2 linked regions of the Alligator mississippiensis genome follow. The protein of the gene in region 2 purifies or fractionates together with the protein of the main gene of each other region. This does not show direct contact. Links are inferred from orthologs where the notes say so. Each region holds a gene or a part of one and is shown on either strand. Other genes may lie near its edges.

What was found.
Region 1: the proteins of FASLG (region 2) and SNX9 purify together in Homo sapiens (co-immunoprecipitation; 3 studies listed by BioGRID and IntAct, with this or other methods). This does not show direct contact. The link is inferred for Alligator mississippiensis from reciprocal best matches to the Homo sapiens genes FASLG and SNX9.

Annotation. Positions count from the first base shown.
Region 1 is NC_081824.1:136,046,394-136,054,059, reverse strand, and holds the start of SNX9 (sorting nexin-9), read right to left. Parts: upstream 3,052-7,666; 5' UTR 2,899-3,051; coding exon of another isoform or gene 2,887-2,898; intron 1-2,886. UniProt on the Homo sapiens protein: Involved in endocytosis and intracellular vesicle trafficking, both during interphase and at the end of mitosis. Required for efficient progress through mitosis and cytokinesis. Required for normal formation of the cleavage furrow at the end of mitosis.
Region 2 is NC_081828.1:44,379,607-44,387,325, forward strand, and holds the start of FASLG (tumor necrosis factor ligand superfamily member 6), read right to left. Parts: upstream 3,203-7,719; 5' UTR 3,171-3,202; coding exon 2,787-3,170; intron 2,698-2,786; coding exon 2,652-2,697; intron 310-2,651; coding exon 244-309; intron 33-243; coding exon 1-32. UniProt on the Homo sapiens protein: Cytokine that binds to TNFRSF6/FAS, a receptor that transduces the apoptotic signal into cells. Involved in cytotoxic T-cell-mediated apoptosis, natural killer cell-mediated apoptosis and in T-cell development.

The sequences.
Region 1 (7,666 bases), on a different chromosome or scaffold from region 2:
AAAAATAAGGCTCCTCCTAAGAAACAGGAGTATTTTCTTTATTAAATAATAGGTCTCTACATTTAAGCTGAGCTAAAGCTCCCTTTATTTAAGGGTCATCACACTGTTTCCAGGTATTTGCAGCACTCCCATCCCCAACCCAATAAAGCTTAAAAGGTAACAAATGGCACAATACAAATTAAATCAAAACCTTGCAAGCTACTGTGGCGATGGAGGTAAATGATAAGCCATTTTTTCTCTAAGAAATCTACTAGTAAACTGAAGAAATTCTGTGAAGCAAACAGCATTTTTCTAGCAAAAAGCTTTACAAGTTTTACTAAAGCCTCCTTGTGAACTTGCAAATCAGAGCAGCATTCACTTTTTCACAAATAGGAAAGCAAAGCAACAGGGAAATTAATGGTAACATTTTCTGAAGCATATGGTACTTTTGGATGCCTCATCATTAGGTATCCAACATGATGCATGCAATATGATTTTCAGGAGTACCAAGTAGTCCTCAATTCAACTGACACAGATTAAAGCTGAGGGCCTTCAGAACCTCTAAACAAAAAAAAAAAAACAAGATCTAAATGTCTGGAATAAGACTCTCAGACGCACCCATGTCCCTCCACTGACAACAACGCTAAAAGGCACTTTAGGGGGAGGGGGGCAGGGCAGGAAACCAATTGGAGAGAGTGCAGAAAGCTCTTCAATTTACTTGACAATAGTACAGCAAGAGCTGATGGCTGAAAGCTTAAAGCTAAACAGTACCAAATTCAAAATAGAGCGCATTTATGAACAGCGAGTTAGTTAACTGCTGGAAGTCTTGACTGAGAGTTGTGACGGAGTTTCCATTTTTTAACATTAAAATTAGCTACTTTTTCAAAAATACAACATTCAAATACAGAAAGTTGTTCGGGGAGGTCCTGTGTTTTTGCAGGTCAGATTAAGATCAGTTGTTCTCAGTGTTTTAGGCACCCCTTGGAAAATGCTAACTTTGCTCTCACTCAGTTTTGAGCGCAGAAAAACAACAGAGGAACTCTTCTGTTGCAAAGAACACAAACACCACATGTCTGAATGTTTCTGATGCTCTGGAATCTTATTGGAAGCCTCTGAGTTTGTCAATCACGTGTCAGTCTTCGTGCTAATAGTAGTAATATTGTGTGGCACCCTTAAAACTTTCTGCTTGAGAATCAATTAACTAGATGATCACAACAGTCTTCTGGCTTAAATCACTGTATATAGAGCATTAAAATGTGGTCTTCTCTCAAAAAACCCCCAAAAAACCTAAACCAACCCTCATCCACCAAGTCACGGTAACACAAATCCGAAACAAGATTTGGTAACATTTTTGCAAGTACCTCCCCAACATTTAGCAGGATCTAATAGGAGTTAGCAAGTTTGAAAGGGGAAGAGGACCGCTTGGGGTAAAGATAACTGTGACAACTAAAATCCTACTTCATATAAGTAAAAAATAGCTAGCTATGTTTCTGAATGGTGTACTGAAGTTGCATGGACCATCAACAATTAAAAGTAGAACCTATTGTTGATAATCTAAAGCATGACAGATAAAGCTTTCTTAAATGTATTGCACGCTAAGGCCAAGGTAACAGGCTACTCTCTTATCAGTATATCAAAACAAAAAGCCAAGTAGGTATTTACACCTGAAAGAAAACCCAGCTTCCCCTCAAAATTAAGGAGATGAAGCTGAAAACTGTTGCAGCTCTACTGCCCACCAGGTAATTGTATTGAAGAGAGTATTCTTCTCTAAACAAGTTACAAACTACGATAAAAGTGGGAAGAAAGACAGAGCACACACTGCTGACCCAGAGTACACTATTGCAAATCTTTATAAAGTACTGTAGTATATAAACTCCAAGATTAAACCGTGCCTCAGTCAGATACCAGTAGCAGAGATATATTTAAATGTTACAATAAGGTAAGAAAAACCCTGAACGAGGTGGTGTTTATGTAGCCCACACCTTTCACTCAAAGTCACATTCCCTCTCCAACAAGTATTCTACTGATTCTAGAAAGTCGATGGCTGAGTGACAGGGACAAGTTTCAGAGGTCATGGATGAAAACCCAATTACAGTCTTGGTTTCTGTGACAGCTACAGCAACAAAGTGCTGGTTTCTTACACTCTTCGCTCACCACATCCAAAGGTGCCCCCAGGACCACCACAACTCTCCACTTCCTTGCTGCAAGACAGCACAGCAACGGCAAAGCGGTCACTTTAGGTTATCTCCTGTCTGAGAGGGCCCTTACTTCAGCAGCTGGTATCAAGAAATGCCCATCGCCTCTCTGAAAGGATAACTGTGGCCTGTGTGTGGCCTGCAGCTCCATGACACAGAACAGCCCTGGCTCCCGCCCGGTCCAGAAGAGCACAAAACAACTGCAGTCACTCCCTCTGCCTGAAGAAGGGTGCTCCTACCCGAAAGCTTGCAAAAAACAGCTTTTCCAACTATTTTCTAATAAAAGAGATCGGGTTTACCCTAAGAACCTCGTCTGCCCGTGCCCTTAGACCAACGGGGCTACAACCAACCCCACGAGTTTCTTCCCTGGCAATCAAACCAATTAAGCGGACAGAGAGTGGCAACAAAAAGCAGCACCTCTCCAGACAGGGCTTCCAACAGCTCCTCCCCAAAACCAAGCCAGCCCTGGCACCCGGGCAGCGCCAGGGGGGGAGCGGGGCGGCAGACTGAGGCGACCAGCGGGCGGGTGCCGCGGGAAAGGGGCCGGGCCGGGGGGCACCCCAGCGGCTGTCCGCCCCGGGCTCTGCGTCCTGGGAGCACGGCCCAGACCGCAGGGAGCCGGGCCCAGGCCCTGCCCGAGGGAGACGGGACCCCAAGCCCGCAGCGGGGGGAAGAGGGGGTCCCGGGGCTGCGGCCCCGGCCTGGTGTTCACCTTGGCGGCCATGGCGGCGGTGCGGGGCCTCCCTCCGCCCGCTCCTGCTCCTCCGTCCGCTCCCGATCCCGGTCCCGCCCGCTGGCGCGGAGGCGGCTCCTACCCTGGCCGCGGCAACCGGGGCAGTGGGGGGCGGGGCCCGGCCTCTGCCCTATCCACGCCCGCTCCCGCCCCCCGCCACGGGCAGCACGGGACCGGGCCGAGGGCGGGATTGGGCCGGGGCTGGTGCCGCGCGCGGCGGGGAGAGCGGCGCTCCGGGGGCCGGGGCCGCCTCAGCCACGTGTGTGTGCGACACAGACAGACAGCTAGTGCGTGCATGCATGCGTGTGGGAGAAGAGGAAGAGTCCGTCCCGTGTGTGAGATACGCGTGTACTGGTGTGCGCACGTGTGTGTTGGTTCGGGCGGGGGAGGAGGACTAGTCCGTCCCGCGTGTGTCCTCTGTGTGTGTGTCTTTGTGTGGGGGAGGAGGAATAGTCTGTCCTCTGTGTGTGTTCACGTGGGGGACAAGTGTATGCATGTGTTTTCATGTGGGGAAGAAATAGTCTGTTGCGTGTGTGCGTGCATGCGTGTGTCTAGGAAAGGAAGAATAGTCCATCCCATTTGTGTGCGTGTGCTGTGTGGAAGGAAGACTAGTGCATCCTGTGTGTGTGCTCATGTGTGGAAAGAGAAATAGTCTGTCCCACGTGTGTCCTGTGTGAGTGTGTTTTTGTGTGGGGGAGGAGGATTAGTTTGTCTCATCTGTGGAGGGGAAAGCTGCTGGCCCACCAGCCATTAGCCTTGAAGCAGGAGTTTCAGAAACCTGCATCTGGAGGAAATTAATCTTCCATGACATCAAGTTTCTTCCACAGCATTTTTTTTTTTGGTCTGTACTTCACTCGTCATCGGCATGTGTCATGTGGGTGGGCCCTGGCAGGCATTGGTAATTATGCAGAGTACTACAGTATCACCTAAGGGACCAACCAGACCGGAGCCCTATTGTATGAGGTGCTGTACACGGATATAGAATAAAGGTTATTCTTAAACCTGCTTAATTTACAGCCTTTGAAAATGAGGTAATGGGTAGATTAAAATGGGGAGGTAGGGAATACAGGGACAGCAATACAAACAAACATCTGCATACACTCACTGTGTGCATAGTTTGTAAATGCAGTGGTAGTGGGAGGGGGCAGCTTTAGCCACATCTTCAATCCCAAGTTAAAGAAATAGGGTAATTATACAGTTGTCCTCAGGAAGTTAGAGAGGGTCCGAAGACGAGCAACAAAAAAGATAAAGGGCAAGCCGTGTGAGATGTTGAAGGAAATAGGCATATTCAGCTTGCAGAAAAGGTGCTTAAGAGGGGACATGATAATAGACTTCAAATATCTGAAGGGCTGCCATCAAGATGAGGGAGAAGACCTTTTCTGTCTTGCTACAAACAGCAGGAACTCAGACCAATGACTTGAAGTTGCAGCAACATAGGTTTATACTGGAGATGAGGAAAAACTATGAACTGTTCAGGAAGGACAGGCAGAGGAGAAGAGGAGGAGTTGCACTTTGTGTAAAAGAGCTGTGTGATTGCTCATAGCTCCAGTATGAAATGAGACAGGCCCACTGAAAGCCTCTGGCTTAGGGTCAGAGGGGAGAGCAACAAGGGTGATGTCGTGGTGGGGGTCTGCTATAGGACCACCAGACCAGGAGGATGAGGTGGACAAGGCTTTCTTCAAACAGCTAGTGGAAATTTCCTGATTGCAGGCCCTGGTTTTCATGGGGGACTTCAATCACCCTGACATCTGCTGGGAGCGCAATACAGCAGTACGCAGGCAATCCATGGAGTTTTTGGAGAGTGCTGGGAACAACTTCCTGGTGCAAGTGAAGGAGTGACCAACTAAGGGCCATGCTCTTCTTGACCTGCTGCTCACAAACAGGGAAGATTTGGTGGGGAATATAGAAGTGGATGGGAACTTGGGCAGCAGCAACCAAAAGGTGACTGAGTTCAGGATCCTGAGGAAAAGGCAGGATGGAGAACAGCAGAGTAAAGACCCTGGACTTAAGAAAATCACCTTTTCACTCAGGGAACTGATGGGCAGGATCCTCTGGGAGGCCAGTCTGATGGGGAAAGGAATCCAGGAGGACTGGTTATGTTTTAAAGAAACTACTTGAGGGTGCAGGAATGAACCATCCCAATGTACAGGAAGACTAATAAGTATGGCAGAAGAGCAGCTTAGCTTAGCAGGAAACTCTTAAATGAGCTAAAACACAGAAAGGAAGCTTATAAGAAATGGAAACTTGGACAGACTAGGGAGGGGAGTATAAGAGAACTGCATGGGCATGCAGGAATGACAATCACGAAGGTCAAAGCACGGCTAGAGTTGCAGCTAGCAAGGGACATGGAGGGTAACAAGAAGGGTTTCTACAAGTATGTCAGTAACAAGAGGAAGATCAGGGAAAATGTGGGTCCCTTAGAATGGGGAGGCAGCCTAGTGACAGAGGATGTGGAAAAGTTTGAAGTACTCAATGCCTTTTTCAGCTCAGTCTTTACAGGCAAGGTCAGCCCCCAAACTACTGCACTGGGCAGCACAATTTGGGGAGGAGGTGAGCAGCTGGCAGTGGTGAAAGAACAGGTTAAGGACTAATTAGAAAAGGTGGATGTGTACAAGTCCACAGGACTGAATGGGATGCACCCAAGAGTGCTGAGGGAGGTGGCCAATGCGATTGCAGAGCGTCTGGCCATGATCTTTGAAAACTCATCGTGGTCAGGGGAGGTCCTGGATGATAGGAAAAGGGCAAATATAGTGCCCATCTTTAAGAAAGGGAAGAAAAAGGATCTAGGGAACTACAGACTAATCAGCCTCACCTCAGTCTCTGAATAATAGAATCATAGAAAATTAGTTTGGAAGGGACCTCATGAGGTCATCTAGCCTAACCCCCTGCTCACAGCAGAACCATCCCCAACTAGATCATCCCAACCAAGGCTTTGTCTAGCCAAGTCTTAAAAACCTCCAAGAATGGAGGTTCCACAACCTCTCTGGATAACCTGTTCTAACGCTTTACTACCCTGCTAGTGAGAGAGTTTTTCCCAATATCTAACCTAAATTTCCCTTGCTGCAACTTGAGACCATTGGTCCTTGTTCTGCCATCACTGAGAACAGTCCAGCTCCATCCTCTTTGGAACCCCTCATCAGGTAGTTGAAGGCTGTTATCCAATTCCCCTCAGTCTTCTTTCTCCTCTCCAAACTAAATAAGGCCAGATCCCTCACACTTTCTTCATAAGTCAGGTGCCCCAGCCCCTTCACCATTGTTGTTGCCTTCTGCTGAACTCTCCCATTTGTCTACATCCTTTCTGTAGTGGGAGCCCCAGAACTGGACACAGTACTCCAGATGTGGCCTCACCAGTGCCAAATAGAAGGAAAGAATCACTGATCTGCTGGCAACACTCCTACTAATCCAGCCCAGTATACTCTTAGCCTTCTTGGCAACAAGGGCACACTGTTGGCTCATATTCAGCTTATTGTTCCCCAGGTCATTTTCTGCAGAGCTGCTGCCCAGCCAGTCAGCCCCCAGCCTGTACTGGGACATGGGATTGCTCTGTCCTAAGTGCAGGACTTTGCACTCGTCCTTATTGAACCTCATAAGATTTCTTTTGGTCCAATCCTTCAATTTGTTGAGGTCTCTCTGTCTGAATCCTAACTCTACCCTCCAGCATGTCTACTACTCCCCCCCAGCTTGGTGTCATCTGCAAACTTGCAGTGGGTACGCTCTATGCCATCTTCCAGGTTACTAATGAAGATATTGAACAAAATTAGTCCCAGGACTGACTCCTGAGGCACTCCACTTGATACTAGCTGCCAAGTAGACATCAAGCCATTGACTACTATCCTCTGAGCCCGATGATCCAGCCAGGTTTCTATCCACTGTATAGTCCATTCATCTAGCCCATACTTCCTTAGCTTCCTTAGCTTGCTTGCAAGAATGTTGTGGGAAACCATATCAAAAGCCTTGCTAAAGTCAATGTATACCACATCCACAGAACCAGTCATCACATCATAGGAAGCAGTCAGGTTGGTCAGGCATGACTTGCCCTTGGTGGATCCATGCTGACTGTTCCTAATTATTTTCTCCTCCAGGTGTTTAGAGTGTTTGTCAATACCCCCCACCCCCAGCTCATCAAAACTCCCTAAGTGGCTCTGTCTCAGGCTTGGCCAGGTGGGGAGCAGCATCTGGGAGTGGGGCAGGCAGGCAGGGTTAAGGCAGAGCACTGGCTCATGGGCAAGGGCATATGGGGAACAGATTGTGACTCTTCCCTGGGCCCCAGCCCCATGTTGACTCCAGCAATCCCAGGTTCTCCATGAAAACCAGCCAAGGTCCGCGTGGGCAGGGTACATCACTGGGCAGATGGGATGGGGTCATGGGCAAGCAGAGAGCGTCTGGCAGTGGGATGGGTGGGCAGGGACTTGTGGGCAATGGATTGTGGCTCTCCCCTGGGCCCCAGCCCTGCACAGTCACCACTCAGCAATCCTGATCTCATCCCTGGCCCTGCCTGTCCGCAGCCCTATCTGGGCCAGTCTCCATGGTGACCCTGCCCACGTGATCCATCCGCAGTGCCTGACAGTGGGTACAGGGCAGATGGGCCTAGATGCCCAGGCAGCAGAGCTGAGTCCAGCAGTGGAGAGTGGCAGCAGCAGCTGGAAGGAGCTGCCACCACCAGGACGGCCAGGAAGCAAATCCAGCCATTGTGTTGTCCCAGCCCCACTGTGTGCCTGACAGCAGTAGGCCTGGCTGCACACGCCATGGCCCATGCTGC
Region 2 (7,719 bases):
TTCCAGAGGAAGGCCTTTCTGACCAGATTTGCCTAGAAACAAAGATGAACAAGAAGCTGTTAGATGAATACATATGCCTAACGGTTTTCAAGTCCCCACTGAAAGTAATTTGGGCAAATCACGTAACTTCAGCTCCTTCATCTGTCAAATGGAAATTACACCCACTGACTTCAGAAGTGGGTGCTGTGAAGTTTAATTTCTTCATACACAGCAAATGTTGCTTCTCTGCCCTCAATCACCTACCCGTTAAGTGTACTGCTTTCCTGACCTCTTTCTTTTCCATGATCTTTTCTGTTGCATTTGGAAGCCCTGCATAAAAATAAAGAAGGAGTTAGCTGCAAATTCTGTGAAGAGGACCTGATAATGAAATGACATTAGAAAGGGACACTCCTCATGGAATTAGAGAGACAGATTTACTATGGAATAGATAATGCAAGACATCCTGCAGGCATTAGTAACTATGGGACTATCTGCTGTGGGACACTATTCAGGTAAATACTGTAGCCTGGAAAGTTTAAAGAGAGGACTGTTACTATAGAAGGATCAGAACAAGTTAGAAAAAAATACATGAAGGGACAAGACTTTGTGATTTGAGAGAGCAACTGATCACCAGATGGGTTAAAAAAAGGATTCCCCCCTGCCCCCATGATATGCTACAGGACAGCATTGCACAAATAGCTGCACTTCTGGGCTTTGTTCTGACTGAATCACTCTCATAGTCCATGCAGAGTATAAGCCCACATCACTAATAATAATAAACTAAACTCTCTTCCAAGCTGCCAAAGCCAAAAATGACCTGGCAGCAATACACAAATTATCTACAATTAGTTTATTATGGCCAAGGACTAATGTCCCAATTGCAATGAGCAGATTCAAGGTGCCAGTCAACACTCCTGCAACTTCTAGCTCTGGGAGGCCACCTGAAGACTTCTTATACACAGCTCTTAACTATTAAGTCTTTGCTACAAAGGGAGGTAGCATAAAATTTTAAGGGGGCTGTAAAAATGTAAGGCAAAAGCAGATAAATTTCCTAAGATACCAAGTAACTGGAAAAACTGTGTTAGGTGAAGAGTCTGTAGTCTGATTTAGACCCTAGTGGAGAGCTGAGTCAGTTGACCATGCGACCAGTACAAGAAAAGTGCACTGAGACTAAAGTGCCCCATGTCAGCTAGTTTTGGCAACAGCTTTCCAAAGCAAATGTGCACTATAGGGACCCAGATACTTGTGGGTACTATTTCCCCTGTAATATTTAATTCTAAAGAATTTGTGGATCAGCATTTGTTCTTTGAGATTATGGCTGTGCCAAGAGACCCAAGGAGAAAGTAGGGTCTCCTTCTTCAAGGCACTGAATGTGCAATTAAGCAGACAGTCCTCACTCCCAAAGGCTGATAAAGAACCTAAGTTACAACTAGAATTGTGGGGGAATCAGAATTTCCATTTTGCAGGAAATTCCCCAATTTCAAAATTGCATCAGAACAAAACCAAAACATTTCAAAATGTCTCAGAAAACAATATTTTGAGGAATACAAATTGTTTCAGATGCATCAAAATGTTTCATTAAAGAAAAAATTAAAAGACGTTTTTAGATTCAGTTGTCTATCCATTTTCAATTTGCAATTCATGACAGAAAAATCAAATTTGAAAAATGAAAAGTCATTCTGAAGCAAAGAATCAAGAGAGCCTTCCCAAAAAGGGGTTGCTTTTTTTTTTTCCTGGCGTGAAGTTTCATGAAAATGTACATGTTCCCATGGTAACTTTCAATTTCATTGAAACCATATTCTTCAAATCTTAGGAAACTTTGGGGCAATTTTGGTTACCCCAATGGAACATATACAGAAGATACTTAAGAAAATTATGTTGTACTTTAAGGGAAAAAGAAAAAAATAACCATCAGGGAGGAGGAAGACAAATAATAGTGTTAGGCACCCCTCTCTCCTTACATGCATCACTTATAGTGTAATAAGGAAGCCAGGGTTGTATTTGTAGCAGGGTTGGTCTGAGACAAAAAGAAATGTAAGACTCTAGACCTCTTGGTTCAGAGACAACACCTTTTATTACACCAACTAAAGAACTGCAAAAAAATTATTTTTTTCTGCAAGTTTTTGGGCAAGCACGCCCTTCCTGAGACTCTCAGGGAAAATTAAAGATGGTAAAAAGTCCCCATAGGTAAAGAAATAAGCTTCATTTTTGCACAGAGGCAGCTGAAGGTGGAAGTCTATTCCTCTGGGTCCAGACATAAGGAAGCCAGACATTTCATTAATGAAGCGCAAGCTTCACAAGGGGCTGGCATCCAAGTCAGGATTCGGTTGCTCCTGGGTTTTCAGGTCTGGGAACCTGGGCTGGGCCCATCTCTCATCAGTGGTCGCCTGGCCTGTCTGCACTGGGCACGCTTCCTTCACGCAGAAGAAGAGCGCTGGGGTCCCCGGGCCCTTGTGACCCGCAAAGGGACACCTGCTCCTCTGCCCAAAGCGAGGAGGCACCTCCTTGCCGAGGCAGCCCAGCGTCCAGGGCGAAGCCTGCCCTGTGGCCCAGGAGAAGGCAGGAGGCTCCCCAGTGACTACAGTATTGCGACGTCCTGCTGCCGGTGGGCCACGGCTCACCCCAGAGCAGGCGAGGGAGGGCTCAGACGTCCCCGGCCCAGGGGCTCTCACCTGTGTGCTTCTCCGCAGCTGGGGGCAGGTGCCCGGGGCTGGTGGCCTGCCAAGAGAGAGGGACACTCAGCAGGGGACCACAGCATCAGGGCCCCAGCAGCCCTGCCACAGGCGGCCTCCCTCCCTCCGCCTTACCTCCCGCAGCTCCGCCAGCTCCTTCTGCAGCTGCACGATCTGGAACAAGCCGAGCCCCGCTCCCGCCAGCGCCAGCAGCGCCAGCAGCGCCAGCGCCCACAGCGCCAGGCCGGGGCACGGGCCGCCGCCGCCCCTGCCCCCGCTCCCGCTCCCGCCGGGGCTGCTGCGCTTGGCGCGGGGCCTGGCCGGCACGGGCGGCGCCGGCGGCGGCGGGGCACCGCTGTCCACCCACAGCTCGGGCCGGGGCACGTAGCTCAGGTTCTGCTGCACGGCGGGCAGGTGCAGGGGCAAGGGCAAGGGCAAGGGCAAGGGCGCGGACGGGGCGGCCCGGGGGGGCTCTGCGCGGCGCCCCCCGAAGCCCGCCCAGTCTCTGCCTGCCTGCATCGTCCCGCCGCCGCCCGCCAGACTCTGCAACGCGGCGCCGGCGGCAGCAGCACCAACCCCGCGGCTTCCGCCCCCGGAGCCTCAGCGCCGGCCCCCCGCCCCCGCCCGAGCAGCCGCGCTCCGCACCCAGCGGGTCCGCCCGCACGGCCACGGCCACGGCCACGGCATCCCAGCCAAGTCCGGGGACAGAGCAGGTCAGATTATCTTCATCAGCGTAACATACAGATATCTATAGATAGCTCACAATGAGAGAGAGAGATCTCACAATAAGACAGACAGACAGACAGACAGACATATCTATCTATCTATCTATCTATCTATCTATCTATCTATCTATCTATCTATCTATCTAATCACAAACTGCTTAGGGAGCCTCGCAGGGGATATAATGCTGAAAGGAAATCAGCACAGGTTCATTGAAGGTAGATCCTGCCTGACTAACCTTGATCTTGTTATGACCAGGTCACAAAATGCTTAGACGCAGGAGTCAAGATAGATGTCATCTACCTGGACTTGAAGAAGGCATTCGATACGGTATCTCATTCTGTTCTCATAAATAAACTGACAGGCTGTGATGTAGAGGATTACAGGGTCAGGTGGGTGGCAAATTGGCTTAGGGTTCACACCCAGAGAGTGGTGGTGGATGGGTGGGTATCAACCTGGAAAGATGTGGGCAGTGGAGTCCCACAAGGCTTGGTCCTGGGACCAGTGCTGTTCACTGTCTTCATCAGTGACTTGGACGAGGGCATAGAGAGCATCCCGTCCAAGTTCACAGATGATACCAAATTATGGGACAAAGGTAACACACCAGAGGGTAGGGAACAGATCCAGGCGGATATGGACAGGTTGGAAAAATGGGCAGAACGAAATAGGATACAGTTCAACAAAGACAAGTGCAAAGTGCTACACTGGGGCAAGAAGAACCACCAACACGCTTACAGGCTGGGGGATGGCCTTCTCAGCAGCGCAGCAGCGGAAAGGGGTCTTGGAATCATAGCTAACTCCAAGAAGAACGTGAATCATCAATGTGACGAAGAGATCAACAAGGCTAACCACACTTGATCAGGCATTAGCAGATGCATGATGAACAGGTTCATGAAGGTGATGCTTCCTCTCTGTGTGACACTGGTCAGGCTGCAGTTGGAGTACTACGTTCAGTTTTGGGCGCCGTACTTCAAGAGGTTGTTGCACCAGATGACAAGGCTAACCTATTTAACAATTTATTTGCCTCCATTTTCCTGAGCACGGACCAGATCAGCCCATCCGCCGGGACCCCCTCAGGCCCCAGGGGAGGTGCACCTAGGCCCAGGGTCAGTGAGGACCTCGTCAGGAAACTTCTGGAGGGACTGGATGTATTTAAATCAGCTGGTCCTGACGACCTCCACCCCAGAGTGCTGAGGGAATTAGCAGAGGTCATTGCGGGACCCCTGGCATGGTTTTACGAGCGCTCATGGTGCTCTGATGTGGTGCCAGAGGACTGGAAAAGGGCCAGTGTGGTTCCCATTTTCAAAAAAGGGAGGAAGGAAGACCCAGGAAACGATAGGCCAGTTAATCTTACCTCGATCCTGGGGAAGCTTTTTGAGAGAATTATCCTGGTGCATGTCCACGAGGGGCCAGCAGGGGAGGTTATGCTTAGGGGCAACCAACGTAGGTTCATTAGAGGCAGGTCCTGTCAGACCAACCTGGTGGCCTTCTATGACCAGGTCACAAAATCCTTAGATGCAGGTGTAGCAGTGGACCTAGTCTTCCTGGATTTCAGGAAGGCCTTCGACACGGTCCCTCACCCCATTCTCATTAAAAAACTAGGGGACTGTGGTGTCGACACCTACACAGTTAAATGGGTCACTAACTGGCTGGAGGGCCGCACCCAGAGAGTGGTGGTGGACAGGGCATTTTCAACCTGGAGGGATGTGGGCAGTGGGGTTCCCCAGGGCTCGGTCCTCGGACCTGCACTGTTCAACATCTTCATCAGCGACTTGGATGAGGAGGTAAAAAGCACCCTATTCAAATTTGCTGACGACACTATGATGTGGGGGGATGTGGGCATGCTAGAAGGGAGGAATAGGCTGCAATCAGACCTAGATAGGTTACAGGGGTGGGCAGATGAGAACAGGATGGGTTTCAACACTGACAAGTGCAAGGTGCTGCACCTGGGGAGGAAAAACCAGCAGCAGACCTACAGGCTGGGGAATTCCCCTCTCATCAGTGCAGAGGCAGAGAAGGATCTTGGAGTCATTATTGATGCCAAAATGAACATGGGCTGACAGTGTGGGGACGTGGCCAGGAAGGCCAACCACACCTTGCCATGCATCCATAGGTGCATCTCGAGCAGGTCCAAGGAGGTGATCCTCCCCCTCTATGTGACACTGGTCAGGCCGCAGTTGGAGTACTGCGTCCAGTTCTGGGTGCCGCACTTCAGGAGGGATGTGGACAGCATTGAGAGGGTCCAGAGGAGGGCCACCCGCATGATCAGGGGGCAGCAGGGCAAGCCCTATGAGAAGAGGCTACGGGACCTGAACGGGTTCAGCCTCCACAAGAGAAGGCTGAGGGGGGATCTAGTGGCCTGTTACAAACTAGTCAGAGGGGACCAGCAGGCATTGGGGGAGTCCCTGTTCCCCCGAGCACTACCAGGAGTGACTAGAAATAACGGTCACAAGCTGGCAGAGGGTAGATTCAGGCTAGACATCAGGAGGCGCTACTTCACAGTCAGGGTGGCTAGGATCTGGAACCAACTTCCAAGCAAAGTGGTGCTGGCTCCTACCCTGGGGGTCTTTAAGAGGAGGTTAGATGAACACCTTCCTGGGGTTGTTTGACACCAGTACTTTTTCTTACCATGGCAGGAGGTCGGACTTGATGATCTGCTCAGGTCCCTTCCAACCCTACTGACTATGAAACTATGAAACTAAGGGATGTGGAGAATCTTGAGAGGGTTCAGAGGAGGCCACTCATATGATCAGAGGCCTGCAGGCAAGGCCCTACGAGGAGAGACTGAGGGACCTAGATCTCTTCAGCCTTCGCAAGAGAAGGCTGAGAGGTGATCTTGTGGCTGCTTATAAATTCATCAGTGGAGGGCAGCGGGGAATAGGAGATACTCTGTTTACTAGGGCACCCCCTGGAGTAACTAGGAACAATGGCCACAAATTGACGGAGAGCAGATTTAGGTTGGACATCAGGAAGAACTTCTTCACAGTAAAGTTTGCCATAATCTGGAATGGGCTTCCGAGGGAGGTGGTGCTCTCCCCTACACTGGGGGTCTTCAAGAGGAGACTGGACTGTCGGGACCCAGGGCAGCTGGCCAGCAGCTCTCCCTGACTCCCACCCGGGCAGATAAGGGTCCGGGGCCTTAGAAGGCCGTCAGGCAGGTACTTGTGATGCTTGGAGTGGAATTAATTAGGCGGACGCTTATCGGTTGCAAAGCAAGATTATTTACTCACGCCGTCAAGGTGGTGAATAGCGGAGGTCAGAGATACTTGGTTAGTTACAGCTTAAGGTTCGTAGGTCATAGGTCGGTCTGCATAAGAGTTCATCGGTCAGGCAGATAAATGGAGAAAAAATCGGGCCGGCAGGTCGTTGATTTACGTCTGATTAGGTCGAGACGGGGGAGATTGACAAGTGATCAATTTGTCAGTTATTTTCACGCATACGTTCAGAGGTTTTTCAGGTGTGTGTGCGGAGGTCTCCCCTTCTTCACGGAAGTGAAGACGGGTTTTATTTGTGTAATAGCCAATTGCTTTTCGCCACGTCATAAATTTAATTAGAATCGCCAATTATCTAGCGGTCTTCACTAGGGTGTTATCATAGGGTTACTCCTTGTTTTCTTTGACCAATTATAATAATTTATGTACAGCACAGAAGGCTAAGTTTTATCTCTGTTAGTGGCGCAGCAATAAATTTCTTTTTGACATGCGCAGCAAAAAAGCGGTTACTATCATTATTGTTAACCCTTAGTTAACCTAGTGCAGAAAAAAACTGTTTTGAATGGTTTTACTTGTTTGTGACATGGGCACTACTTAATTTGGTTGTGACATGGACAAGCACCTGGCTGGGGTCGTCTGACCGCCGCGCTCTTTCTTGCCCAGAGCAGGGGGTCAGACTCGATGATCTACTGAGGTCCCTTCCGACCCTAACATCTATGAATCTATCTATCTCTCTAAATATCTAATTGTGAGATAGAGAGATATCTCATTGTGAGATATCTCACAATAAGATAAAGAGAGATATCTCTATCTAATTGTGAGATATCTCTTATTGTGAGATAGATAGATAGATAGATAGATAGATCTTATTGTGAGATATCTATCTCTCTCACAATAAGATAAATAGAGATATCTCACAATAAGAGAGAGAGAGATCTCACAATTAGATAAATACCTCACAATAATATATCTTTACAGTAACAAAAATATATATATGTATATTTCAATATGATACATATATCTATAGCTCACTATATATATATATATAGAGAGAGAGAGAGAGAGAGATCTATATATATACCTACATATAAATATCTATATATATTCATAATTTTAATATATTCATATATATT